Linked DNA regions of Neurospora crassa OR74A. The protein of the gene in region 5 purifies or fractionates together with the protein of the main gene of each other region. This does not show direct contact. Links are inferred from orthologs where the notes say so. Each region holds a gene or a part of one and is shown on either strand. Other genes may lie near its edges. The genes, in order: NCU08668, NCU07956, NCU01595, NCU09843, NCU03794, NCU06418 and NCU01008.

What was found.
Region 1: the proteins of NCU03794 (region 5) and NCU08668 purify together in Saccharomyces cerevisiae (affinity purification with mass spectrometry; 3 studies listed by BioGRID). This does not show direct contact. The link is inferred for Neurospora crassa OR74A from reciprocal best matches to the Saccharomyces cerevisiae genes PWP2 and ESF2.
Region 2: the proteins of NCU03794 (region 5) and NCU07956 purify together in Saccharomyces cerevisiae (affinity purification with mass spectrometry; 4 studies listed by BioGRID, with this or other methods). This does not show direct contact. The link is inferred for Neurospora crassa OR74A from reciprocal best matches to the Saccharomyces cerevisiae genes PWP2 and PNO1.
Region 3: the proteins of NCU03794 (region 5) and NCU01595 purify together in Saccharomyces cerevisiae (affinity purification with mass spectrometry, with the first as the bait; 6 studies listed by BioGRID). This does not show direct contact. The link is inferred for Neurospora crassa OR74A from reciprocal best matches to the Saccharomyces cerevisiae genes PWP2 and SOF1.
Region 4: the proteins of NCU03794 (region 5) and NCU09843 purify together in Saccharomyces cerevisiae (affinity purification with mass spectrometry, with the first as the bait; 7 studies listed by BioGRID). This does not show direct contact. The link is inferred for Neurospora crassa OR74A from reciprocal best matches to the Saccharomyces cerevisiae genes PWP2 and UTP15.
Region 6: the proteins of NCU03794 (region 5) and NCU06418 purify together in Saccharomyces cerevisiae (affinity purification with mass spectrometry, with the first as the bait; 3 studies listed by BioGRID). This does not show direct contact. The link is inferred for Neurospora crassa OR74A from reciprocal best matches to the Saccharomyces cerevisiae genes PWP2 and DBP8.
Region 7: the proteins of NCU03794 (region 5) and NCU01008 purify together in Saccharomyces cerevisiae (affinity purification with mass spectrometry, with the first as the bait; 5 studies listed by BioGRID). This does not show direct contact. The link is inferred for Neurospora crassa OR74A from reciprocal best matches to the Saccharomyces cerevisiae genes PWP2 and IMP3.

Annotation. Positions count from the first base shown.
Region 1 is NC_026504.1:4,160,041-4,163,268, forward strand, and holds NCU08668 (pre-rRNA-processing protein esf-2), read left to right. Parts: upstream 1-1,272; 5' UTR 1,273-1,446; coding exon 1,447-2,011; intron 2,012-2,085; coding exon 2,086-2,543; 3' UTR 2,544-2,728; downstream 2,729-3,228. Other genes in the region: NCU08669 (betaine aldehyde dehydrogenase 2), read right to left, coding at 1-275, 335-739. UniProt on the Saccharomyces cerevisiae protein: Involved in the small subunit (SSU) processome assembly and function, and in the 18S rRNA synthesis. Required for the early cleavages at sites A0, A1 and A2. Stimulates DBP8 RNA helicase ATPase activity.
Region 2 is NC_026504.1:1,226,305-1,229,760, forward strand, and holds NCU07956 (pre-rRNA-processing protein PNO1), read right to left. Parts: upstream 2,261-3,456; 5' UTR 2,010-2,260; coding exon 1,714-2,009; intron 1,646-1,713; coding exon 1,338-1,645; intron 1,275-1,337; coding exon 1,105-1,274; 3' UTR 501-1,104; downstream 1-500. Other genes in the region: NCU07957 (hypothetical protein), read left to right, coding at 1-4; pod-1 (mitochondrion biogenesis protein), read left to right, coding at 2,689-3,456. UniProt on the Saccharomyces cerevisiae protein: Required for small ribosomal subunit (SSU) synthesis. Has a role in the processing of early nucleolar and late cytoplasmic pre-RNA species. Recruits DIM1 to nucleolar pre-RNAs.
Region 3 is NC_026502.1:2,998,065-3,001,755, forward strand, and holds NCU01595 (SOF1), read left to right. Parts: upstream 1-1,202; 5' UTR 1,203-1,459; coding exon 1,460-1,465; intron 1,466-1,545; coding exon 1,546-2,577; intron 2,578-2,637; coding exon 2,638-2,937; 3' UTR 2,938-3,191; downstream 3,192-3,691. Other genes in the region: rpn-6 (26S proteasome non-ATPase regulatory subunit 11), read right to left, coding at 1-265, 341-423, 496-680. UniProt on the Saccharomyces cerevisiae protein: Required for ribosomal RNA processing.
Region 4 is NC_026505.1:5,923,452-5,927,688, forward strand, and holds NCU09843 (WD repeat containing protein 57), read right to left. Parts: upstream 2,783-4,237; 5' UTR 2,601-2,782; coding exon 930-2,600; 3' UTR 501-929; downstream 1-500. Other genes in the region: NCU09844 (amidohydrolase), read right to left, coding at 4,133-4,237. UniProt on the Saccharomyces cerevisiae protein: Involved in nucleolar processing of pre-18S ribosomal RNA. Required for optimal pre-ribosomal RNA transcription by RNA polymerase I together with a subset of U3 proteins required for transcription (t-UTPs).
Region 5 is NC_026505.1:2,437,194-2,441,453, forward strand, and holds the start of NCU03794 (periodic tryptophan protein 2), read right to left. Parts: upstream 2,801-4,260; 5' UTR 2,627-2,800; coding exon 2,496-2,626; intron 2,429-2,495; coding exon 1-2,428. Other genes in the region: NCU03795 (cell division control protein 12), read left to right, coding at 3,865-3,969, 4,041-4,203. UniProt on the Saccharomyces cerevisiae protein: Required for bud-site selection and cell separation. Also involved in nucleolar processing of pre-18S ribosomal RNA.
Region 6 is NC_026503.1:1,328,383-1,332,409, reverse strand, and holds NCU06418 (ATP-dependent RNA helicase dbp-8), read left to right. Parts: upstream 1-1,227; 5' UTR 1,228-1,661; coding exon 1,662-2,479; intron 2,480-2,552; coding exon 2,553-3,615; 3' UTR 3,616-3,792; downstream 3,793-4,027. UniProt on the Saccharomyces cerevisiae protein: ATP-binding RNA helicase involved in 40S ribosomal subunit biogenesis and is required for the normal formation of 18S rRNAs through pre-rRNA processing at A0, A1 and A2 sites. Required for vegetative growth.
Region 7 is NC_026505.1:2,664,392-2,667,637, reverse strand, and holds NCU01008 (U3 small nucleolar ribonucleoprotein IMP3), read right to left. Parts: upstream 1,877-3,246; 5' UTR 1,678-1,876; coding exon 1,577-1,677; intron 1,518-1,576; coding exon 1,487-1,517; intron 1,409-1,486; coding exon 1,385-1,408; intron 1,318-1,384; coding exon 1,207-1,317; intron 1,152-1,206; coding exon 867-1,151; 3' UTR 501-866; downstream 1-500. Other genes in the region: NCU01007 (mito ribosomal protein S18), read left to right, coding at 2,348-2,447, 2,544-2,956, 3,119-3,246. UniProt on the Saccharomyces cerevisiae protein: Required for the early cleavages at sites A0, A1 and A2 during 18S ribosomal pre-RNA processing.

The DNA.
Region 1 (3,228 bases), on a different chromosome or scaffold from region 5:
ATGCGATCGGACGCGGCCTTCTGGACGGCCAGGCCACCAGCAACCGAGCCGGTAAAGCAAATGTTGGCAATCTTGGGGTTTCGCACAATTGTTTCAATCACTGTCGGCGAACCCGAGTGGAAGTACTGGATGACTCCGTCGGGCAACCCAGCCTCGGAAAACACCTTGGCCACCTGCTCGACAATTGTGGGTGTCTGAGGCGAGGGCTTGAGAATGACCGAATTTCCAGACAATAAAGCGGGAATCAAGGCGTTGACGAGAATAAGATAGGGGTACTGCGCAAAGTTAGAGGTGACGGATGGAGTGTCAAAACAACATGATGGACACCACTTACGTTCCAAGCAAAGATGATGAGAACAGGACCAACAGGCACCTTTCGGATGAACCTCTTGAATCCCTTCTCCTCCTCGCCATCGGTGTCCTTCAGAGCATCGTTGCTGATCTTGAGCAGATACTCTGAGCGCTTGATGGCAGTGGCAACCTCCTTGGCAGTATAAGCAATGGGGCGGCCCATCTGGACGGTGAGTTCCTCTGCAAGTTCATCCTGCTTCTCGGCCAGCAACTTCAAGGCCTTCTTGACGATGATCTGTCTGTCCTCCAACTTGGTAGTGCGCCATCCTTGGAAGGCCTTGAAGGCAGTCTCGGGCAGTTGGACGAGTTCCTCCTCTGAAATGCCATTGCGAGTGATGATGGGTTCCCCCGTGGTGGGAGAGATGGTGGTGATCACCTCGACCGACATTGTTACAAGTAGGCTTATCGGCCAGGTATCGAGTGATAAGGATGGTGAAGTGGGATGCAGTGTTGGTTGTCACAAGGAGGAAGAGCGAGTCAAAGGGAAAGAAAAGACACAGTTCAGTTACTCTAGTACTTAGTACTATAATTCGTTATACCTTCCACAAGAAGAAAAGAGCAAACCGACTTGATTCCCATGACCCAATGACACCATGTCGCCCCTCCCGTCGCCGTCTCACTAACAAACAGGAACACGACATCACACTGCCGCACACAGAGTGGCTCCCGCTCCGTTTCTCGGCGGCAGGCCGGGGGAGCTTTGATAAGATAAAGAGTTGTTGGCAGCGCGGGGTCGGGTCTGCAGTGTATGAACTCCACCTCGGAAGGAACCTAAGGCGGGGACGGGATCAGCCAACCTGAACTTCCATTCCCATTCATACTTTGTTATCTCTTATCGGCCCTGCGTGCACGGTCCCTTCCTGCCTGTGGCCCCCAGTGGAGCCAGAAATTTTGAGAAACAGCAGCAGCCATGTCCGTCCAGCGCTTCCACGCCAAAAGAAGACTTGCGAATCGCGTCGTGATCCTTCTCCAACGCAAACAAACACCCGACTGCCCTAAATCTCCCCATAACGACCCAATCATTCAACCTACGAAACTTTCAGCATACAACAAAAAGTCCACCAATTAGAAACACAAGTCAATCATCCATCGACAATGCCGGAGGACGATGTCAGAAACAAGTTCCTCGATGCTGGCGATAGCGACGACGATGCGGGCCACGGTTCTGACTCGGAGGATGATTTCCAAAAGGGTGGCCGTAACGCCAAGCGCAGAAGAGTGAGCGATGACGAGGACAGCGAAGCCGACGACTTTACCGACGCAGAGGAGGAACACGACCAAGATGATGCTGAAAGCAAGGATGCACCTGCAAAGGACGGCCAGGAAACAACAGATGGAAAGGAAAAGAAGGATGGAAAGAAGGAGAAGGAGAAGAAGTCGGTACTAGCGAGTGACCTTCCGGGCATGACGAAGCCTCTCACAAAGAAGAATCTCATCGTCACGGAGGAGGCCATCAAGAAGTCGGGAGTGGTGTACATCTCCAGGGTACCACCTTTCATGACTCCTGCCAAGTTGCGCTCCCTGCTGGAGCCGTACGGAAAGTTGAATCGCATTTTCCTGGCCCCCGAGGACCCAGTTGCGCGACGCAAGCGCATTCGCAGCGGAGGCAATAAAAAGAAGATGTTTACAGAAGGCTGGATTGAGTTTGTCAAGAAGAAGGGTAGGTCTTCATTCCGTGAGACTCGCTGAGACCCAAGTACAAAGACGCTAACAAGAAAACCCGTTTGTTTGCAGACGCCAAAAAGGCATGCGAACTCCTCAATGCCCGTCCAATCGGAGGCAAGAAGGGATCCTACTACCGCGACGATATCTGGAACTTGCTCTACCTCAAGGGTTTCAAGTGGCACAACCTGACCGAACAAATCGCTGCTGAGAACGCCGAGCGATCCAGCAGAATGCGCGCCGAAATCTCCAAGACAACCAAAGAAAACAAGGAGTTCGTCCGCAACGTGGAGAGGGCCAAGGTGCTGCAGGGCATTCAGGCAAAGAAGGCGTCCAAGGGCAGCAAAGCGGGCGGTGAGGGTGCCGCCCAAGTCACAGAATCTACTATTCCCTCGGCGGCGGCAACGACGACGACGACAACAAACGACGATAAGAGGAGAACATTCAAGCAAATACCCTTGGCCAAGAAGAGGAAGCTCGATGAGACACAGCCCGAGCAAGTACAAAGAGTGCTCAGCAAGATCTTTTAACCTTCTCGTTTGGCCCCCGAACAATAGGTTTGAGACACGGAGCGTTCATGTACCTGTGGGATTTCTGTCGTCAAAGCGACTCCGAGACATTAGAGATGGGTGGTGTTGATTTTCTTTCCCTTAGGCAATTGTATATATTTTTCTGCCTTCAGTCATCTTGATACCCAACCTGATTTCCTTTTGCTATGAGAGCATCTCCATTTCCGTCACTTTGTCATATCCCTACTTATCGACGCTGCACAGAAACCGGCCGGCGTTTGGTTTAATTGGCCCACCATGAGCACATTCCAAATCCCAGCCACGAGGAAGAGTGCCCCTGACGATACGGTCAACACTCGATACAACTTCACCAATTGTCCTGTCGCAAATGCTGTCAAAAGGGGATCATATTTAACGACTCACCCGACTTACGCCCTTCGCATACTTCAAGGACTCATCCAGCGTATGCTTGACGTAGATGAGGAAGGTTGCGAACATTTCTCAAAACGTCGCCTGGACACCATACTCCAATATACGTCCTGGTCAAACTATATCATCGGGCATATCCGCCAAGACCGCTCTTGTCGTTATTTGAGTGAAGATCAGATGCACAAGTTCTTCCATGCATGTATTCAAACGGTCGAGGATGGCTGTACCCTGTGGGAACATATATACCTTTTGAAACCTAGTTGCTGTGCTGGGCGTG
Region 2 (3,456 bases), on a different chromosome or scaffold from region 5:
GTAGTGTATGACCTGGAGAATAAACATGGAGACTGGGTTTTGGGAGACGTTATTCGCACATTTCTTTAGCTGTTATGGGGTTGGAGTTTACCGGGCTTATTCGTCAGGCCTACGAAATCGGCGGTGACTAGTGGATTATTGTTTTTGCTTAAAGTTGTGACAGATGATTACGGAGTTTGGAGTGTTGCAAGTCCTTCCAGGACACGGTTCATGGTGCGGAGGTGGTACCCTAGCTCTTCAGAAGATACCCATACGTATATCACTTTTTGCTACGTCTTGCCTTCACTTTATTTCAACAAGCTTGATGAGTCATGGGAGTTGGTCAGTCAGAGCACAAAAAGAGCCTCCTCGGGTTAAGATGGTCTCATCCCACCTATCGTAGGTGAATATCGAGGGGTTTGACTATGCTCTATCTGCTATTTCGATATACGGTTCGCCATCTGGACTGTAAAACAAACAAGACCTTTACTTATGCGGAACAAGCGAGATAAGAGAATGGATGGAAATAACTACTACTTGTATGACCTGAAGAAACCAATCTATCGTGGCTCACCTGGCTACATTGGTGCCCATCACATCAGCTCCTTACATTTTGCTTGATTTGCCGTCACCATGGAATTGAACCTCAACCAAATGAGCGCACTGGATCAGTTTCCCACATCACTTTCTCTGCACAATAATCGACCTTGCCAGCCAATATGCACTAAACCGCCTTTTGGTGAATATCTCTGTTCATTGTCTTCTCTTCTCGTCCTCCGGGTATAGATCATAACCACACATTGAAAGATTCGCAAGGCGGTAGCTCCCCAATATCCCGTCCTCTTCCTCCCGCTTCTACACACCTTCGTAGATATCCCCAGCATGACTGACTGAATCGCCCATTTCAAACTCTCCAAACTCAAAGCAAAAGCATAATGAACTCCTAAACGCCAGAACCCTTTTTAAGCGTAGCTCCCGAAATGCCACCTTCGCCCCTTATGTGATGAAAACCGTCGATTTTTTGTTGACTGAACCATGCAGCCCCGTGCGTGAACCATTCATTAGGTGAGAATAGCGGCAATAGAAGTGTAACACATTGTTGCCGTTTTTCGTGAAAGAAAGAGCTTAGAATCTCTCCTTTTGCCTCGAGGCAATGATCCGGAGGTTGTTGTACACCTTGCCGGGCTGGTGTCCGAGAATGAGGGAGACGACGGACTCGCGGGCCATGCCAATGTTCTCGAAGGCACCGAGGATATGAACGCGGGAGCCGGCGAGGACGATTCTGGTTTTTGTGGCTTTTCACATCTTGTCAGTACTTCTGCGTCATCTCTTCCATTCTCCCATAATGGTGAACGTACCATTCTCAATCGCAAACTTGGTCTTTCCGTCCTTGCCTGCAATACGACCAATCGCACGTCCCAGAGCATCGGGGCCAAGGGTCTGACGGACATCCTTGACATCGAAGGACTGGATATAGAGCGAATCGAGACGGAGCAGGGCAATGGCGTCGTCAATGTCGAAGCCCATGGCGAAGGCGGAGACGAAATCGGCACCCATCTGCAGGGATTCGGGGGTGGTGGTGTGTCTGCTGGAGCGGAGCTCGACGCGCTTCTCCTTGATGTTCATGCGGACCTGGAGCTTGCAGTGCTCTACAAGTGGGGGGTAGCTGATTGGAAAACAGTCAGTCTTCCTTGCCCAAACATTCACACATGTTTCCGTAGTTTTCCGTCTCACATCTTGGTCCAATTGGCCTTGAGGGCCGACATGCGGTTTGGCGGGATACCAATTTTCCTGGTCTCTGCGCGGCGAATGATCTGGACGTCCTGGCCGGGGGCGAAACGGGGGCGGCCCTCCTCGTCTACAGCCATCTGCACATCTTGGTCATTGGAAGGGGGAGCGGCGGCGCTGGGATCGGTGAGGTTGACGGCCTCGTTGACATCGAGAATGAGCTCGTCCTCTTGCTCGGTCTGGATAGGAATCTGGGCGGCGGGAGCCTTGACAGGCTGACGAAGTGCTGTTGGCGCAGGCATGTTGGGCGAGATGTGTTGTTTATCGGTGGGTGATGGTCAAGGGGCCGAGTCGGGTTGTTTGTTGATTAAAGTCGGTAGTATTTTGGGAAATCGCCGGCCAAGAGTAATGGCAGATTTTTCGAAAATCGGGTGGAGGAGAGACTGGTGACGGGCGACGAAAGAAGTGTCGGGATGCTGGGTTACAGTCGTGAATTGCGGAGATCTGGGAGTCGAAGTTCTGCCTTTTTGCGCCGTCGGTCTCTAGAATTTTGATGTTTATCGATTTTGATAGCGCAGAGGGGAAATTCTTGACAAAAAGCAGTGGATCCACAAAAGAGTACCCAAGTGAAGCTTATCGATTGGCTGCATGGGGGCTAGGACCCTTGCCAATCGCAACGCCCATGCACTAACAGTTACCGAGGAATCCCTGTAATCCCAAGGTTAGCGTCATTGACGCACTTTTGACGGGGACCTGGACCGGCAGCTTTTTCAAACTCCAGGTTCTTGGTCAGAGCAGGAGCACCATCATATGTCATTCTAGACTCGGCCCACCACCAAGCAACAACATCTGATTTTCAGCCTCGAGGACCGACCATGGATACGGCACCGAGCTGTCGTCATCACCATCGTCGCTGAAAACATAGGAAAAAAAAAAGGAACAGGTCGGTCCCTTACTCGGTCGACAGTATGAATTTCAACAATGTCTACTAGCGCTACGACGACCCAGCTGGGCCGCCAGCTATGGTCTTCAGTACGAGATCTTCACACCACCTCGAATCTCTTCACAGCCGCGATACTGCTTCCAACTTGTCAGCCATTACTGAGTCGTCAAAGTCTTGGACTTGGCCCCTCGACATCGCTGGGGTCCCATCAGCGATACGGACAGCAGCAGAGCACGCGACAATTTACCTCTTCCGCAAGTCGCTTTTTCTTCCCAGCAACAAAATCGCAAAGACTACACTATCAACAGTCACAACCATCCCATAATGTCCTACGAAGCTGTACCTCCGGAGGCCTACTCCTCCTTGGGCTCACCACCAGCCCCTCTCCAACGAGCACGGTAGAGGCATCCGCACTATCCGGCAATGCCGCGCAAAAGGCAAAAATGGGCCACTTGGCTCGGCAGGCTTTACTCTTGCGAAGGATACGACAGAACACCACGACCACAACGTTATGCAAGACAGGAAAGCGATTCCAAAGTTCGGGCAAAGAGACCAAGGGTGATCATGACGAGACCAAGGCCGAAGCCAAGTCTTCTACAATTTCTCCTCAGCAAAAGTCCGAGCAACCACAGCAGCCACCGAATACCGAGACGGCTTCCGGTTCTGGTTCCCAGCCGACTCCCGCACATGAATCAATAGCAGATTCCATGTCTAAATACCTTCACCTTCCTCACCTCCCCCATTTGCCTCATCGGCCCACAAAAGAAGAGCTTCTGGCGGCAGCAAGCGGGTTCTGGTCGCGTCTC
Region 3 (3,691 bases), on a different chromosome or scaffold from region 5:
TATACCCGCGACTCGAGCAGCTGGACTTCGACGAGGACGAGCTTGTCGTCCATGCGCTTCAGCTCACGGAGGAGACCGTTGATGAGCGTCAGGGCATCGTAGTAGGACTGCTTGGCCATGTACAAGGCGACAAGACGGGTTTCGAGGTTCTGGCGGAGGAAAGAGCGGCGCTCTGATGTGGCCCATTCTATACACGACTTGGTGACGGAAATCTGGATGTCGAGAGAGTCGGGGATGGCTTCGAAGAGGTCGAGGAGCTGGCGGACTGCATGTATCAACCAGTGTTAGTATCCTCATGAGCTTGTATAGCGCGTCAACAAAGCTGATGGCGGGGTCGTACCAAGCTTTGCCGTCTTTGCCTTTGCGAACGAGGAGAGAACTGTGCGGCTCTGGGTTACGAGGTCTACAAGGCCTTGTGAGTTCCTGTACACGGTGATGGGAGGTTAGTGACCGTACCCCTCCTCGATGACCACGACATACACCAGCCACTCTTACTTCTCGTCGCGATAGAGCTCTCCCAAGTGAATCAAAGCCGTCTCGTATTCCCGGATGGCCGCGTCAGAGGTGACTGATGGCGGCTTGGAGATGATATCCTTGTAAATCTGCTCGGCCTGGCGGGGGTCGGTCGAGACCACCTTCTGCGCCTCGCGCACTCTCTCTGATGCTTCGCCCTGGGCCATGGTGTCGTGTGCTGGTTGTCCCGGTCGCCAAGTGGTAAGCGGTAGTAGTATAAATCGAGAGTTTGGCTATCGGATTGGATGTGATGGTGATTACTCGAGGTCGCGGGGGGATATGCGGCGTGTCGGTGGTCGCAGAGTGTCGGCTTGGAAGTTGTGGTTGTTGTGGTGTTGAAGTTGGAGCTCAGGTTGTTCTGTCGTGACGAACCTCACCACCCGTCCTCTGCTGGAGCACAGCTGTTACCCAAGTCAAGTGCAGGCGGCATGTCCACTAACGAGACCTCTGTACACTACGTACCACCGCTAGGTAGCCAGGCGCGACGTAATTAGCTGGAGACATCCACCTACAGATCCCTGTCAATTCACGGCAGGCAAGCCCAGCTCTCGGTAGCTCAGGCCCTGTCCATCCTTTTGGCAGCGAAGCTCTAACATTCCAAGCCTAAGCGTTTAGCAAACTGCCAAGAAGGCGGTCAAGATTCTTGCCGCCAGACCCCGCCAAAATTTCTCCAGAGGAAGGGGAACGGGAGCTGTCAAACTGCCCGTGTCCGACTGTGCTCCCCAATTGGCGACAGACGCTCCCGGCATCCATCCATCCATCCATTCATTAATTCCAACGTCGATAACTGTATCACAGCACCTGTGCTTTGCGACAAGGTGTACCGACAGACTTCAGCCATACCCGGCCTCATCATATACAATTATTCACACTCGATATCCGTCGGCCTTGGTAGCCTTCTCATCCACGACCCCTTCAACATCATCAACAGAGAAACACCGTCACCATGAAGGTACTTGGGCCTACCACACGCGACGCCCATCAAGATTCGCAAACCCACTTCTAGGCTCACCACTGACACTTCTACAACAGATCAAAGCCCTCAGCCGAAACATCTCGGCCCAGCAGGCCCCCGGTAACGACGTCACCCGCGCACCCCGTAACCTTGCGCCCGAACTCCATCCCTTCGAGCGCGCTCGCGAGTACAAGAGAGCCCTCAATGCCGTCAAGTTGGAGAGAGTCTTCGCCAAGCCCTTCCTCGGCCAGCTAGGAAATGGCCACGTTCAGGGTGTCTACAGCATGGCCAAGGACAAGAACTCGCTACACACAATCGCTTCCGGTTCGGGTGACGGTATCGTCAAGGTCTGGGATCTCACAACACGGGATGAAGCATGGAAGGCTGCCGCCCACAACAATATCGTCAAGGGAATGACCTTCACCAACGACAAGAAGCTTCTCACATGTGCCACCGACGGCATCAAGCTTTGGGACCCTTACACCAAGACCGACTCCCCAACGCCACTCGCGACATGGCAGGAAGGTGGTCCATACACGGCTCTCTCGTTCCACCGCAACACCAACTCCTTCGTTGCCTCTTCGGGCGCCGGCTGCATTCGTATTTGGGATCTCGAGCACAGCACGGCTCCTCAGACGATACAGTGGCCGAACCACAGCGACACCATCACCGATGTTTGCTTCAACCAGGTTGAGACCTCGATCGTGGGTTCCGTCGGCACAGATCGCTCCGTTATTCTGTTCGATTTGCGCACCAACATGCCCGTCATCAAGACTGTTCTCAAGTTCGCCGCCAACCGCATTGTCTTCAACCCCATGGAGGCGATGAACATGGCTGTTGCCTCAGAAGATCACAACGTCTACCTCTTCGACGCCAGGAACTTCACCAAGGCGCAGAATATCCAAAAGGGCCACGTTGCGGCGGTTATGGACGTCGAGTTCTCTCCTACCGGCGAGGAGCTCGTGACTGGTTCCTATGACCGCACAATCAGGGTGTGGCGCCGTGACCAGGGCATGTCTCGCGATGTGTACCACACCAAGCGTATGCAGAGGGTGTTCCGGACTACCTGGACTATGGATTCCAAGTACCTTCTCAGCGGTAGTGACGATGTACGTTGTCTCCTTTCTTTTCTCCAACTGTTCGATCAGCACAGCTAACGTGATATACAGGGTAACGTCCGTTTGTGGCGTGCCAATGCCTCGGAACGCAGCGGCGTCAAGGCGACCAAGCAGAGACAGGCGCTCGAGTACAACAAGACCTTGGTCGAGAGGTATTCTCACATGCCCGAGATCAAGCGCATCTCCCGTCACAGGCACCTGCCTAAGGTGGTCAAGAAGGCGGCCGAGATCAAGCGCGAGGAGCTTGCGGCCATCAAGAGAAGGGAGGAGAACGAGAGGAAACACTCCGTCAAGCAGTTCGAGAAGCGCAAGGCAGAGAGAGAGAAGGCTATCCTGGCCAAGCTGGAGTAATTGCGGTGTTCTTGGCTTTTGTGTGCCATGGTTTGTGCGGTCTCTCGCGCTTCACGCTATGCGTTTACTATTTTCTTTTGCATTGGGCGGCGTTTCTTAGTGGGAAAATTGTCAGGCTATTTGTTGATGAGACTTTCAGGCAGCGGAGTCTCGCTCGGTCTATACGGAGTTCGATACCACATATTCGATAGTATTTTGTTTCTGTGTTCGTCTCTATGTGCAAAGCAAAGCGACCATGTCTTCCCATCTCTTCCAAAACACCTACACCACTCCTTCAGGCGCCCTGTGGACTCCGGCCTCGCTGCTTGACTCTCTTTGCATGGTCACTTTTTTTTCCTCGATTCCTCCTTTCCGGTTGATCAAGGTTCACCTGATTTCCCACAAGTCAGACGGTCGATTTCGTGGACCTGACCAGTACCCAGAAACTGGCGTCAACATCGTGCAGCATTGGCATGAACCTCATGGCCTGGATAAGAAGAACGAACGACATGGAATCGGACGGTCACGGCGTGGGTTGGGATAGTTGGAGGGAAGGATACGGGTCGTTTGTGGCTCATCCGTGGCCATTGATGTGGGCTACCCTAGATCTAGCGCGGCCTGCGTTATTGGATCAAGTAGATGGCTCTCCTGTCTCGATCTGGCTCGAAGACCGGTTGGCAAACAGCAGTCGGAGTGTGGCTCAGCCATCAACACAACCAAACTAGTTGTAGTTGTGCCCTTAGAAAATGGGAGCCCACCTCCGGGCTTTGGGTAT
Region 4 (4,237 bases), about 3.5 Mb from region 5:
GCTGGTTCGGCAAGCATCTGATGCTCAAACACATCTTGGGTTGATGCCTTGGCTGCAAAAAACAGAAAAGACGACGACATAGTATTATCGTGTTGGAAACCCCCCGAGAAGGGAACGGCTCGCCATTGAGGCGGTCTTCAATGACAGAGTGGGACAGCAGTTCTGGTCGGGCTGTCAACAGTCAGCCCTAGGAAGGCACTTGGAAAAGCAGGCGTCAGAGGCAGACCGGGAGTTCTTTTCGATGTCTGGCCAGATACCAGAGGGTGGTGAGTGGCTCACCGGAGAGACTCTTTCTGTATCTCATTCTATTCTCCTAGTCAGGAGGGAGGACTATGACTAAGTGGAAAGTTGAAGCGATCTTCAGCGAGGACTTTGGAGCGAGATGTTTACGTTGTCATTTATAGTCATAATTCTATTGGATACGCTGAATGTTGACACTGCAATAAAGCTCTTGATCGTGGTGGCGTCGTCCAGAAGAGTCCATGGTCACGCAATAAGCCTGGCATTTGGAATGGCTTTTACTGATTCTCCTAAGGTATCTATCTCGAGGTATCTAGTCCCAACCCCTTATTTTATGTGACCGTATGTATACTTTTGTGAGCCCAGATTAGTACAAAAAGCCAAAAAAGAATGTTTGAACGCCGACGCCATGCAGGGCTTGATATCAAGAAAAAACCATGATACCTAACCGAACCAAACCGAACCAACACATCCGGGATCCTTTACCCTCTCCATTTTTTTCCCCCTTCCCCGTCCTTCCTGCTTTGTGGTATAACAACACATCCCATCCGTTCTTTACATCTTTCTTATGCTCCATCCATCCACACAGCTCATCCGTATCTTTCCATTCCCTTTCCCTTCCAACCATCATGACCTTCTTCTGGTCAAACTGCAGCCTCAAGGGCCTTGTCCGAAGCTCGCTCAGCTTCCTAAGCCTCAGCACCACCAATCATCAAACTCTCCACCATACCATTCGTGATAATCGCCATCTGCGCCTTCTCCACCTCCCTGCTCACCTTACCCGTCATCACAGCAAACTGATCCGCCAACTCGGAGCTGCCGCCCACGTACTCGCTGTAGATATCAAACAGCTGGAACGCCACGTCCACGCACACGGTCGCGTACCGCGGATCCGAGATGTACTTGATGACCCACTTCAACAAAGGCAGGACAGTAACTTCGTCGCGGCCTTCCAGGGCTTCGCGGAGGGCAGACCGGTGGCGCAGCGCCACCAACACGGACAGGGCCGTCACGGGCTGGTATTCCGGAGAGGACAGGTCGAGCACGGCATCCAGACAGGCGGCGTACCGGCCCTCGCGAAAGTCGCGCTGCCACGGCTTGAGCTTGACGCGGCGCTTGCGGCCTCCGGCGGAGTTGGGCGCGTCGGTGGGGATGATCACGTCGACGTTTTCGCCGAGCAAGGCCATGGATTTGTTGGAGGCGGCGTTGCGCTTGCGCTTGGCTTTGGCGGAGTCGATCTTGGCGAGCTTGGAAGAGGCACCTGAAACCATGAGCGCGTCTTCGGCGGCGCGGGCGCGGGCTTTCTCCGCCGTGGCGCCTGACAAACGGGTGCGCAAGGACAAAACGCCGGATTGCATGCCGACTGCTAGGTGGCGGTCTTCGTGGCCTGAGCCAGCGGCGACGACGGAGAGAGAGAGGATGGGCGAGGGGTACTTGGAGCCGGAGACGACGTTCCAGTTGGTGGTTTCAAAGACTTTGACGTGCCCGTCGAGAGAGCCGGAGACAACGCGGCGGCCGTTGGAGGCGAGGCTGAGTGACGTGACGGTCTTTTGGTGGTTGGTGATGAGGCGTAAAGGTTTGGCGGCCACGAGGTCGAGGACGGAGATGGCGGAGCCGGTGGCGGCCAAGAGGGTGGTGCCGCCGGGCAAGGGGAGGACTTCCTCGATGGGGTCGGCGTGCTTGAAGGTCAGCACGGAGCCGGCGGGGGCGCGGGCGTCCCAGACGCGGACGGTCGAGTCGTAGGAGCCGGACACGAGGAGGTTGTTGCGGTCGGGCATGAAGGCGCCGCTGCGGACGTAGTCCTGGTGGCCGGCGAACAGGCGCGAGGGCGCGTTGGAGGGCAGGTCCCAGAGACGGACCGTCTTGTCGTCGGAGCAGGACATGAGCGTCGTCAGCTCGGTAGGTGACCACTTGGTGACCCAGACGGGCTGCTTGTGGACGTGCCAGGTCTTGAGGATGACGGCGCGGGTGCCGGTGCCGACGTCGAAGACCTGCATCTTGCCGGAGTCCTCGCCGGCTACGAGGACGCGGCCGTCGGCGCGGATCTCACCGCTGTGGGCCTGGGAGTCGAAGCGGCCGATGGTCTTGAGCAGCTCGCGCTTGCGGATGGAGAAGATGTCGACGCGGGGGCCCGAGGTGACGGCGAAGAGGTCGTTGGTCTTGGCGGCGGCGACGAGGGAGTGCGAGGCGGCCGAGCCGTTGCTGGAGCCGGGGAAGCTGATGTGCGAGATGGGCCATGCTGCCGTCGAGGTGTGTGATTTCTGGTTCTTGAAGGACTTCCAGTAGCGCTGCTCGGCCGTGATGGGGCTGACGACCGTGGGCAACTTGAGCGTCGCCAGCGGCTGCACTTCGGCTGCCATGGTTACGGATTGGTTATGGGTGGTAGGTTCGTTCCGTCTAGTTCGGGTAGTGTTGAAGAGAGGATACTCGGTTATCGGAATCGGGGGAAGTCGATTAGGGTCGAAATCGGATTGGGGGAGGGAGGCACGCGTCGAGGTCTTGTCGTGGTGGTGACTTTGCGGGGCTCAAAGTTCACGAATTGTTGAAATCTCCAAGTGGGAATTTTAGTTTTTTTGACGGCGATGCGATGCAAAAGCCATTGGTTGGAGCCATCGATTGGAGGCCCCGCCAAGCCGATAAAGTTTACCTACAGCGACTAGGTACCATAGTGACCAGCCCCAGGCCAGAAAACGCCAAGCTTCCAGGGTCCCGTCCTCTTCACAAGTTCCTTCTTTTGATTGGTCTGCTTGGGCTTCCATGTCGTGTGAATGTTTGGCGTTATCTTATCGTGCTGCATCCCCGCCGTCGTGATTGTAAGTCGTGTAAGTTGTCGCCTTTATCAACTGGAGACAGTCGACTGACATATAATTAATTGACTGGAGTAAAAATCCAAGAGTATTTTGATGCATGACACGCTCATTGACAATCATCATCTCCTCGGTATGTGAATCTATGATTAACATGTCATTAGGGATGTGTATCTGGAGCATTGGCCTCGAAATGGTAGCGAGTTGGTAGTCTAGTAACCTGTTGCTGACAACAACAACAACAGCGTGCGTATTGATGATGACTTGAATGTTTTATCTAGCCACAGATGTATTTATAACGAAGCGCGTATGAAAACTACTTGAACCATGAGCTAAGCTTAGAGTGAAGACGGAGAATATCAATTACAAGTCACAACCTTTTCTCTTTACACTCCATTCAGTCAATAACAAGCGCCTGGACAACTCGTATGAAACTGATAACGGTTTGTGCAACAAAAACACCAACGTCACAAGCCGGCTACTCGCAGTTTGTTTTTTTTTTTTTACTCGTGACTTTGAGATGAGAAAACAAAATCATCAAGAGATGAAAAGAAAAAGAAAAAAAGATCAAACTTCGGAGATCATCAAACGCGCTGGCTGCTCGTCGTGATGGAGAAAAGCAATGTGAAACTCGCTTCTCATCCGATCACATGATTAATTTCTTTGTCATGACTGCAACTCAGTTGCCGAGCAGATGAGGTTGAAGACACTGCACCCCCGAGGCGGATGACCGACGAAGGAGAAGGAACACAATGAAGTCTCAGGGCCACCAAAGTGTTCAGGTTGTCAAACTGAAGTTCTAGTCTTTATCTACAATCTGGTGCTTTAACATAGTTGGATAGTATAAGTTATGACGACGACGACGGGGAGGCCCGCTGATACCTACCCATACTGCTGCTGCTGCTAGAGACATGGTACTACTCCTACTCGAATTCTCCTTGAGACCTAGGCCTAGAGGTTTAGATCACGGCTAATTCATGATATAGATACAAGAATAGCGGACAGAGACATGCCGTGTATCCTTTCATTCCTTTTTTTATTTATTTTATTTTCTAACACCGTGAAACTATATTAGTAGTCGCGACCTAAGCATAGTAATTCTTTGATAGGACATTGCTTAAGCGAGGAAACAACTTTAACGCAGCCTCCGACGCAGCGGACTGGACAAATGCCTCGTCCTTTTCCGCGCC
Region 5 (4,260 bases):
AGTCTCCTTAGCAGCGCTCGCCTGACCGAGGAGGTAGTCAACCATGTAGACGTTTTCATCGGCCAACTTCCTGATCTCATCCCTCATCTTGGAAACAGCCCTTGCGACAACACGAAGCTCAACATCGACCTTGCCGCGGTTGGCAGACAACCACGCGCCGTGCTTGTCGACCAGAGCCTTGATCCAAAGAAGACAGAACTCAACGTGAGGGCTCTGCTCGGTCTGCGCGGCAACGTACCGCAGCAGCCTGGCAACGTACACGTTGGGAAACTGCTCGACCACCAGAGGGATGTCGGTGTAAGGGATGGCCTGGAAGACACGCTGGATCAGACCGGCCTCGTTCAAGCGGAAAGCCATGACGAGAGCCTTGAGGTAGTCCTTCTCCTTCTCGAGCACGGCCAGGGTAGAGGTGGGGGTGATCTCCATGTTGAGGTCAAAGGGATCGAACTGGATGGTGGTGTCCAGGCTGTAGATCAAAAGACCTTCTGTGGAGGCGGCGCAGAAAGCACTTCCGTTCGGGGAGAAGGCAACGCCGTTTACTCTCACTTCGGGATTCTTCCTCCGTGCGGAGGGGTCGCCGCGCTTGGAGCCTGGGAGTGACCTGTCTATCCTGTCCTCGAAATCGGAGGCCTCGCCTTGCTCGTCCAGGAGACCCTGGGGTCCAGCCTCGGTGAGAAGCTTGCTGTTGAGGAACTCTTGAGTGCCTTGAATTGAAAGATTGACGCTCACGGTGTACTTCTTCAGGAGAACCATGGTGGTGACGGAGTACAAGCAAATATACTTGCTGTTTCCGCCGGCCAAAAGGCACGATCCGTCTGTGCTGTATCTGATGGTGTTGAAAGCCTTGGTACCGGCAACATTGGCCGCAGTCCTGCGATCACCGATCTTCCGACCGCCGGAGACATCCCTGCGTCCATCAAGACCAGCTTGCTGCTCAGCTTCCGAGACCGACCAGAACGACAGGTTGCCGTCGAGAGTGGAGATGGCAATCTGGAGAGAATCTGGCCTAAAGGCAATGTCGAGAACATCCGAGTTGAGCTGGAGAGGCTCGCTTGTTTGTGTGCGGTTGAAGATGGACCAGATACGGGCAGTGCGGTCCCAACTACCACTCACAAGAAGACCGCCGTTAGGCGCAAAGGCCAAGGATGACACAGGGCCCTCGTGTCCCGAAAGACGATCTAGGAGCTGGCCAGTCTGGACAGACCAAATATGAATGTCGAAAGAGTCAACGGAGCCAGCCGCCACGATTTCGCCACTAGGATCAACTGCCATGCAAGAGAAAGATAGCCTTTCTGGTGCTGTAAAGGTCCTGAAGTTTCTGTATCTGATCAAGTCCCAAGCCCTGATGGAACCGTCCAAACTCGAGGTAAACAGGACATTGCCCTTCTTGGAGAACTCGCAAGCAGTGATGCCGCTCGTGTGCTCTGTGAAGGTAACAATGCAGAATCCCGATTCCGTATCCCACACCTTAATCTTTCCATCATCGGCGACTGTGACAATCCGCTGACCGTCCGGAGAGTAAACGAGGGAGTTCATCGAGTCGAAATGGCCCTGCTGCTTGAGAATGTAAGACTCGGACTGCCACTCCCACACCAAAAGCTGACCAAGCTTGGATGCGCCAAACGCCAGCCACTCGCCGCTCTTGTTGATCGTCACAAAGTCAATTTCGTTCTGGGAGATGCTGAGAGTGTGGATCATGTTGAAGTCGGGCATTTCGTAGAGGCCAAAGATACCGTTCGAGAAACCGGCAACCAGCAAGTTCGATTCGGGATGGAAAGCGGCGCATCGTACGGTGGCGCTGTTCTGCATGAAATAGTGCTTGTTGACTATCCTCCAGGCCAGGTCATCGTCGTCCACCATATCCTCGTCCTGTCCAGGCTTCGCAACGTATTGCCAGTCGAATACGGCGCCGTCCTTGCTGACTGTGTAAATCGTCTCTTGATCCTTGGAAAACCACGCGCCCACGACACCCTGCCTGTGACCGGACAGAACTGTAGGTGTGAACCCCTCCTCTTGATCAACACTCCATATCCTTGCTGTGAGATCCTTGGAAGATGTGAGGAAGAATCGCGAGTCGTGGGACCACTCGATGTGACGGACATCGTCGAAGTGTTGGACGTGGGTATGGTGCTTGACGAAGGGCGCAAACTCGAGCTCGCCGTCGGCGTTGGCGTCGGGTGTTGAGGGAACGTGCCAAACCTCGATTTTCCTGCCGAGTCCAACAATGAAGTGGCGCCCCGATGGCGAAAAGGAGAGAGCCGTTACTGGAGCCTTGAAGGAGAAGTGATATAGTACTACGCGCCGGGGCACGTTGGTGAGAATAGCTTGGCCATCTTCGTCTATGGAGAGTAGGAGGTTGCCCTGGGGCGTGAGACCGATACGCGCAATGTTCTTTCGGTGGGAGAAGGGAAGGGTATATGATTTGTTACTGCGACCGTGTTAGCCAGCTTACAAGCCATGCGCCAGGCAGGTGTGTAGGGAATCTTGAGACGTACTCGACAAGGTTAAAGACTGTCACCCTGTTGCCAACGGGCGAGAAGAGATGGGTACCGTCCGGGCTGAACAAGAGGTTGCCCTGGCAGTAGACTGTGCCCAGTAGATTAGAAAACTTGAAGTCGGTCTTCATTTTCAAACACTATTCCATGCCTCGACTGTCAACGTTGGAGATGGAGCAGAACTGGGATAGTATCTGGGGATTCGATTATGTACAGGAACTGGAGGACTCTTTCGAGTCTGTATAGGTAAGTGGAACAGAAGTTCAGTTACAGGCTGCTGCTGTTGCGCCTAGACCGCCCGTACGTTCAATGGCGATTCTGCCAGCCAAAAATTTCATAAACTTTTTGGCGGGGAATGGAGTCGGGTTAGCTCCTCGCTTTGGCACCAGCTGGCAAAAGACTTGGCGTATCTGGCAGCCTCACCGACCGCAGCGAGACCAACCACTGCACGGCACCACCAAGCACGGTCACCAAGCACAGTGCAAGGCTGGCAGAGCTGGCAATCAAAGGGTCAAAGGGTCGACCAAGTTTCCATGGCAATGAATGGCTGATCACCGCCAATGGCGCTAGCAGGGAAGGCACGCATCGATTAAATGCTCGGCGAGGGTACCTGGCAAGCGCGTTTCAGTGGAGAGCTGCCAGCGTAGGTCCGTCTCTGGGGACCTGGAATTGGGGAAGTGTGGGAAGCAAGTGGAAAAGGGGAGGGTCCACTCATTTCCCTGCCGCGCAGCCAGTCAAGAGCGGCCTTGTGTGGTGGCAGCTCTACACTACTGCAGAATGCCGGGCTCGAAAGGTGCCATTGGATTATATGGATCGTGTACCGTGCGCCTTCTCGGCATCATCACAGACGGCTGCCGTGGCCCCGCCCAGGCACCTCATCTGGAGGATGGAATCGAATGCTGCTTGCTCGCTGCTTGCTCCGTCCGTCTGCTGCCGCGGCCCTGCAGTGCCTGGAGTGCTTGGGGTTCAGTCAGTGTGGGCTAGGTTTGGCCTGGCGCTCCCGTCCCCGTCGCTGGTGCTCTCTCCTGCGTGGGTGTGTGGTGCTGGGTTGGGCCAGATGAATGTGGTGTGGAAATTTGAACAAGTAAATTCCCCTGAACGAAAGCACAGAGCTCCACGACGGGTCCCCCGTCCACTCACCACTGCAGTTCCATCCCCCGTCTGCCTCTCGCTCCCACCCGTCCACTGTCAACACCAACCTAATTTCGATTCCCATTCACGACCACCACCATACCCGTACACCACGCATCCCGCCTGACGCTCTTTTTCTCCAATTGCCGGTGCTTCTTCTCGCCGTTACAGCAACGGGATCGTGACTTAATCCTCTACCCATAATTATCTCCCAGTTTCGTGTTTCGCCCAGCTGAAGATGGCCCCTGCCACTACCGAGAGCGCCTCACCGATTGGCATTGCCAATCTGCCCAACCAGCGACACAAGATTGTTGCTAAGAGAGGCGCTGCTTTTACTATTATGGTGCGCTTCACTGTCCAAAGCTTGCCGAACCTCGCGCTTGTAAAACCAATGCTGACGGCGTGGGTGGATAGGTTGCTGGCGAGTCCGGCCTCGGCAAGACCACCTTCATCAACACGCTGTTCTCCACGACCATCAAGAACTATGCCGACCACAAGAGGCGCCACCAGAAGCAGGTCGACAAGACCGTCGAGATCGAAATCACAAAGGCTGAGCTCGAGGAGAAGTTCTTCAAGGGTACGACAGCACATCACGCAGGGGGACCTTGGTGTCTTGTAGGAGAGCTCTGTCTAA
Region 6 (4,027 bases), on a different chromosome or scaffold from region 5:
AGTTCACTGTGAGTGAGCGGCGTTTCAGAAGAGACAGCCTGGAGAATCTACAGCATGATCAGCTCAGGCCTTCAAGGTTAACTTCACCATCTTGGGGAGCCAACCAGGTGGATGAAACATGCTTGCTTTGATCAACACAATTGTTTACACTTGAAGCAGGTGATAAGTTATAGATGACAATGAAGGACCTCAGCATATGCGAATCGAGATGAATATGAGGTATATCATCAAGCCATACGAAGCATGATCATGCCATGTAAACAAAACACTTTTACCTCCTTTCATTGCTCGATATTATCATGTTGATACCTTGTTCTGGCCTATTTGCCTGCTTATTCGATGGGGGCATTTGGGGACCAAATCGGTAGGCCACTGTGCCAGTAAAGTACCACAACGTCAACATGGCCCATCATGTTCATCGAAATGCCCGAGTTGGGTAAGGGCCGATAGCCCATGCATCGCCGGGGCAAGCTCGCGTGTGCCCTACCGCGGGTTCCACTCCAGACTTGGCCCGTTTAGCGGCGGCCATGAGGATCCGTAGTCTTGGGATCATCGTCAACGACTGTCCTTCTGTGGCACTAAATCATAACACAAGAAGGGGGCCCGTTGAAGGACATGATCTCATCTGTCGTAGTTCGTCCGAGCATCAAGACAACGAACGAGCTGCATCCTTGAGGTGCTGTCTTTCAGCCGACCGAACAAGCTGCTTTCCCTTCTGTTATCGATACTTATACTCCTTGTGTAGACCTTGTTCGGAAACCGTGCAGTCAGCATAACACCACCAGAAGCTGGACATTGCAGTGCTTTTCCGACATGAACCTTGATCCTAGACTGCTCATGCTTCTTGGCTCATTCCCAAACAAGAAGAAGCTCTCCTATTTTTTGCATTCTTCCAAGCGCCCAGAAGTCGCACTATGGAGATCAAACCAACGGTTTCTTCGTATTCCATGAGATGGAATGTGGAAACGAACAACCCCGTCCAAAACTTAAGCGCCGATGGGTTTGGTGGCTGACGCTTGTTATGCGACGTTGGCGGTTCGCCGGCGCTTCGGCTTGCGTTTCAAGGTACACTGGTGGGTCTTGCTGTGATGCTACCCTAGGGGCAGGCCCAGGCTTGCTTGCTTGCGGTCCGTGTGCGGACGTCGGGTCTTGGCGATCTGTACATATTAAAAGTTCGTGAATGGAAGGACGATGGGTATATAAGTGAGAATGAAACTCTAAGGATATGGGCACTTTATCACGATACACAGCGGTTCATACCCTCATGGTATCGTTCTGCGAAAGACATGTACATAAGGAGATGGAGGACGGCTTGGTGAGGCTCTAGACCGTTGAAGTGTTTCTGAAGCACCGAGGCACCCCCATAAAGTCCAAAATGCCACGCTTACGTAATGACGCTCAATGTGACATTTTTACAAGCACGCTTTCCCTTTTCGGTCACTCCCGAGAACCTTGCTGAACCAAAAATTTTGAATTTTGTAGCGGTCGCAAGTCGTTATCAGTTTATCGACTGATAATCAACACCACAGGAACACACATCGAATCTGCTAGAGGCGCCCATCACGGTCCTGGAACGAATGCGAAGAGACATCTCGCACCAAACATAAACATCCGTCTAGACCTTTTGATTCCAACTCCCGCAAATAAGGAGCAAACCAACAATGCCGTCTGCCACAGCCGCAAAGGCCAAAAAGGCCAATGCCAATGCCAACCTCAAATCCAAGGTTAACAAGGCGCCCGCCGTCACTGAGATTGATGAACAATCTGGTCACTCTGAGGATGAGTCCGACTTTGGGTCTGAACTAGATGTGGAGGATGAGTCGGCTGCCTCAGATGAAGAGGACGAGGATGAGGACGAGGATGAACACGATTTAGAGGAGGGCGTCTCAGACGAAGGGGAGGGCGTCTCAGACGAAGAGGAGGGCGTCTCAGATGAAGATGAGGACGAGGAGAACCAGAGCGCCGGATCAGGCTCAGACTCAGATTCCGATTCGCTAGACAGTGACGCCCCCAGAAAACGACGCCGTACCTCACCTACCATCGACGACATCGTTACTCAACTTGAAGACGAGGAAGAGGATGACACGCCTGTCGCCCCCGTCAAGCCTGTCTTCAATAACGTCCCATCCCGCATCAAGAAAAAGCAAGCTGAGGCGCCCAAGACAGAAAAGACCGAAGAGGCAACACCAGCCCTACCAGTACCAGAGCCTGCCAGCACAGTTTCTGTTCCTATCGACGCCAACACCACCTTTGACGCACTCAATGTCCGCCCATGGCTGGTCCAGTCTCTCGCCAACATGGCCATCAAGCGGCCAACCGGCATTCAAAAGGGTTGTATACCCGAGATTCTCAAGGGCAGGGACTGTATTGGTGGCAGTAGGACAGGTTCGGGTAAGACGGTAGCATTTGCCGTTCCCATTCTCCAGCAATGGGCTGCCAACCCATCCGCCATCTTTGGTGTCATCCTCACGCCCACCCGGTAAGTCCACTCCGAGTACCCCTTAACCCCCACAAACAATCAAACAATAGGTAGAGGCTAACCACTTCCACAGCGAACTCGCCCTCCAAATCATGGAGCAAGTCATCGCCCTCTCTCAGCCCCACGTCCTCAAAGCCGTCCTCATCACCGGCGGCGCCGACATGCGCAAACAAGCCATTGACCTCGCCAAGCGTCCTCACCTCGTCATTGCCACCCCCGGCCGTCTCGCCGACCACATCCGCACCTCTGGCGAGGACACCATCTGCGGTCTTCGCCGCGTCAAGTTCATTGTGCTCGACGAAGCCGACCGCTTGCTCGCCAACAGTGGCCACGGCTCCATGCTCCCCGACGTCGAAGAATGCTTCTCCGTCCTCCCTCCTCCTTCCGAGCGCCAAACGCTTCTCTTCACCGCCACCATGACGCCCGAAGTCAAGGCCCTTTCCGAGCGCCCGCCCATTCCCGGCCGCGCCCCCGTCTTTGTGTGCGAAGTCGACACCCAGCGGCTCGCCATCCCCGCCACCCTGCGCCAGATGCACCTCCAGGTGCCGGTCACCCACCGCGAGCACTACCTGCACATGTTCCTGCTGACCCCGCAAAACGTGGACAAGAGCGTCATCATCTTCTGCAACCGCACCAGCACGGCCGACTTTTTGCACCACTTGTTGCGCTTGCTCGACCACCGCGTTACCTCTCTGCACTCCAAGTTGCCGCAGAGCCAGAGAATCGACAACCTCGGTCGGTTCCGCGCCTCGGCTGCGCGCATTCTGGTGGCGACCGACGTGGCGGCCAGAGGTCTCGATATCCCCGAGGTGAAGATTGTGATCAACTACGACATCCCCCGCGATCCGGACGATTATATTCATCGTGTTGGTCGTACGGCGCGTGCGGGCCGCAAGGGTGATGCGGTGACGTTTGTGGGGCAGAGGGATGTCGATCTGGTGCTGGCGATCGAGCAGAGAGTTGGACGGCAGATGGAGGCATGGACGGAGGAGGGCGTCAACTTGGAGACGAGAGTGATCAGGGATGCGCTGAAGGTGGTGGGCGAGAAGAAGAGGGAGGCCTTGTTGGAGATTGAGGAGCAGAAGGAGGTGGGCGGAAAGAGGAAGAGGGGGAAGGAGAAGTTGAGGGCCATGTAAGCTGTCCTGTTGATGATAAGAATAGGGAGGAGAGGGGGAGCCGAAGTGGAGGAGGTAATGAAGGGAAAGGGGGTAGTGAATGATCTGATACCAAAAATATGTGTTGGGGTAGGGTGATAGATAAAATATTGAATAAGGGATTGAAAGAGATAAAAGCGATGCCAAGCTATTTTTCATATCTTGTGCCCATGGGGACTATGGCCCGGCTTCTACAAATTATGTCTTCGGTGAGTTTGACTCCTCAAAAGGATGAGCCACGGCCATCATTGATCCTTGTTTTCAGGTTGGAACAAATGCGAGGACATCCGGAGGATGATTCACCGAGCGGAGGTATGCATTTTGAAAGAGATTGCTTCATATCGCACTCCATTTCCTCACACATCATTGATTTCAAAGGCCAGCCCTCCGTCGT
Region 7 (3,246 bases), about 230 kb from region 5:
CTGGCGGTTTGGTGTCGGGAGGGCTCTTCCGGGGGACGAACTCCCACAGAGCGATGCTGATCTGATATGGAGCCCGGTGTCTCAGGGTGTCGAAAGAAATCCAACCTTGATTCAATGACAAGATGAGGATCAAGGTAAGGAGGTACGAGAAGTATAAGGAGACCTTGGTAACAGCAGAGAAGACAACCAGGAGTACCAGGACCATATAGGATAGAGATAAAGCCGAGGATAAAGGATGAAGTGAAGAACTGAATGATGCGGTGTTAGGAATACGGAGACATTTGTTAGGTCAGGTCTCGCTAGGGAGTGGGAGCGGAAGATGCAGAGAAAAAAGAGGAAATGCCAAGAAGAGGAGCAGGCCAAAGGGACGATTTTCATGAAAGAGTGAGCCATTGTAAATGAGCTACTTTACGGAAGGAGCGAGGCTCGTCGGATGTTTTATTTCGTGTGCTGCCAGTTTCGAGGAACGGAACAGAAAGAACGCAGGAGCACCCCTAAAACCCAGAAGTATGCCAGTGATATTGTCGGCTATTAGTCGGTAGTGGTTCGGAAGGAAGACTCACCAGGCTTTGGTCACAGTGAGACACTGCAAGTTCGAGTGGGGAGCCCGCAGCTGGTACACTTCCGCAACTCCGAGTGATTGACCTGTAAACCCGAATGGTGGTATCTTAAAATCCCTTTCACATATTTTGAATGCCTTTACCCTAAAACGCCACAGAATATTGCTCGCATATGAGCACTCCTCCCAATGCCAACTTGCAAACAACGCAGTAGTATGTCCTTTCCCAGTGATCCATTTTCCAGCCTTAGCTCCCAACGTACCATTACCACTTCCTGATATGCCCGCAGCCATGCTCTTCCGCCACTCAAAGAAGCTCGAAATCGTCCAACTTGTCGCGGTACTTCATAATGTTCTGCTTGATCTTGCTGCCGACAGACCAAGTGACGAAGTCCTCCATACTCCTCGTCACCAGGAAAGCAGGATCACGGACCTCTTCGACACCCACACGGACATGGCCCTGCTCAATCATCTTGGTCGCTGCTTGCACGGTCTCGGCCATACGAAGTCTGGTCATGACGACGGGCAGTCGCCTCCTGGCAAAGGCCGAGACTGTGACCTGGTGCTCCACCTGCGACAGCTTCGACTTGGACTGTGATTGGACGTTAATAACTGCTCGAGTTGAACTTCGATACCGGAAGACATACCGACAGAATTCCCATGTCGTAAAGCTTGTCGAGCAAAAGCTCCTCGTGCTTTCGCCTCACCTCGTTGTCTGGAGGAAGCAAACTGAGACGATGGGCGAGTTGGCGGAGGGACTGTGGCATATCATGTCAGTATGTCATGAACAGTTTCATATAGGTAAGGTTAGTTGATGAAACTTACACCGCACATCCTGTTGTACTTGTGCTAGAAGGGGGTCAGTTGTCATGGTCATTATGAAAAGTCACTGTGAGCCTCATCTCATCCTTGCTTGGATTAACATACATAGTCCTCGGGCTTCTGAATCATGTACCGTCTGTGTGACTGTTAGCAAGATGTTCTCACACAAAAACCACTTAAGGCGAATGAGCGTACCTGGCGACATCGTGATCTCTGTGCTTGTTGTCCGACTTGTAGTTGATGAAGTCGGTCTTCCGAAGAAGCTTCTGTTCCGCGTGCTTGAGCTTGCGGACCATGTTGGCAATTCGTTGTCTGTGTCACTGATGGTGTGCTGTTCTAGTTGGGTCGAGAAGTGTGTCGTTGTGAAAGGTATCAAAGATGCGGTATCAATCAGACGGGTGTGGAGGCGATGGATGGTTCAGTATCGTAATCTGATAGTAGCAGCAGCTGCAGTGGTGGTGGTGTTCTGGCGTTGAACTTTTGCTGCAATGAAAACTCTTGCCCCACACTTTCTCGCCTGCCGGGCCCCTTGCTTAGCGCACTCTTAGCCCGCAGCGAGCTCCATTTTACCCCATAAAATAAACCGGGACGCTTCAGGCTTTCCAGCAATCAGCTCCCGCCCTGCCAGCTGCCAGCCGCAAGCCCGCAACAGCGCCCCGGTCCGCGGCAGGCCCCGCCACTGCGCCGAAAAGAGATTGATCCGCCAAAAAGTGTCGCTGCCGGCCCGGAGCTCCAATTTCCAATTGCCCGCACCGACCGTGCCCGCCGCCGCCGCATCTCCCCGTCGCGACTGAACCCCCGATCCCCGATTCCCGACTCCGACCGATCGCGAAACGGGAGCTCCATTCTTGTCTGTGTGTGTGTGTGTGGTTTCCCCGAGAGGACTTGCACATCGCCAAAGCCCAGCTGTTACAAGCTGTTGTAACCATTACAACAACGACGACGACCACCACCACCACCACCACCATGTCGTCCTCTCGTCAATTCCTCTCCTCTGCGCTCAGGCAGTGCCGCGCTGCCGGCCAGAGGACCGCCCAGTTCTCGACCACCTCACCGGCCGCTGCCAGTATGTTCGCTCCGTCGATCGCAAACCCGATATGCCGCCCTCCACAACTCTATAAGCATAACACATAAGCTAACAACACCTTCAATCACCAAACAGTCCGCGACATCCCCACCACTTCCTTCCAAAATGCCCCGCGCACCAACACCAACACCTCGTCGCCGTCGAGCAACAACAACAACAACGCCGGCTCGAGCCAGTACAAGTCGGACATGTTCAACCTGCTAAACAGCGGCGCCGGCAGCCGGGGAGGAAGAGACAGCTACAACAACGCACGCGACGTCGACGGAGGACAGCGCTATGGCAGCAACAGCCAGAAGGTGCAGGAGCTGCTCCAGTCCGAGGTGACCTCCAACAACTACATGCGCATGATGAGGCGCCGGTGGAACAACGGCGACGTGTACGCGCCGCGCGACCTGTCACCGTACGAGATGAAGGGCAGGAACGGGGGATGGGTGGAGGCGGCGGATGTGGTGGATGAGCTTGGGTTTAGTCCGTTGGATAACTATCGTGTATGTTTTCTTTTTTCTTTTTTTTTTCTTTTTTCTTCTTGTCACTCCCTCCCCTCTCCCTTTCTCTTGTTCCTCCTCCTTCACACACCCCTCTTCCCTTCCCAATTCCATTGTCTCGAAAACTGGCCTCAGGCGAAATGCTAATTTCCTTGGGGACAACAGAACTTCTCCCTCATCTCCGACTACATCACCCCCTTTGGGCGGATAAGGCACTCCAAGGAAACCGGCCTGAAACCCGTCAACCAGCGCAAGATCGCCAAGATGGTGCGGCGCGCCATCGGCCTCGGTAT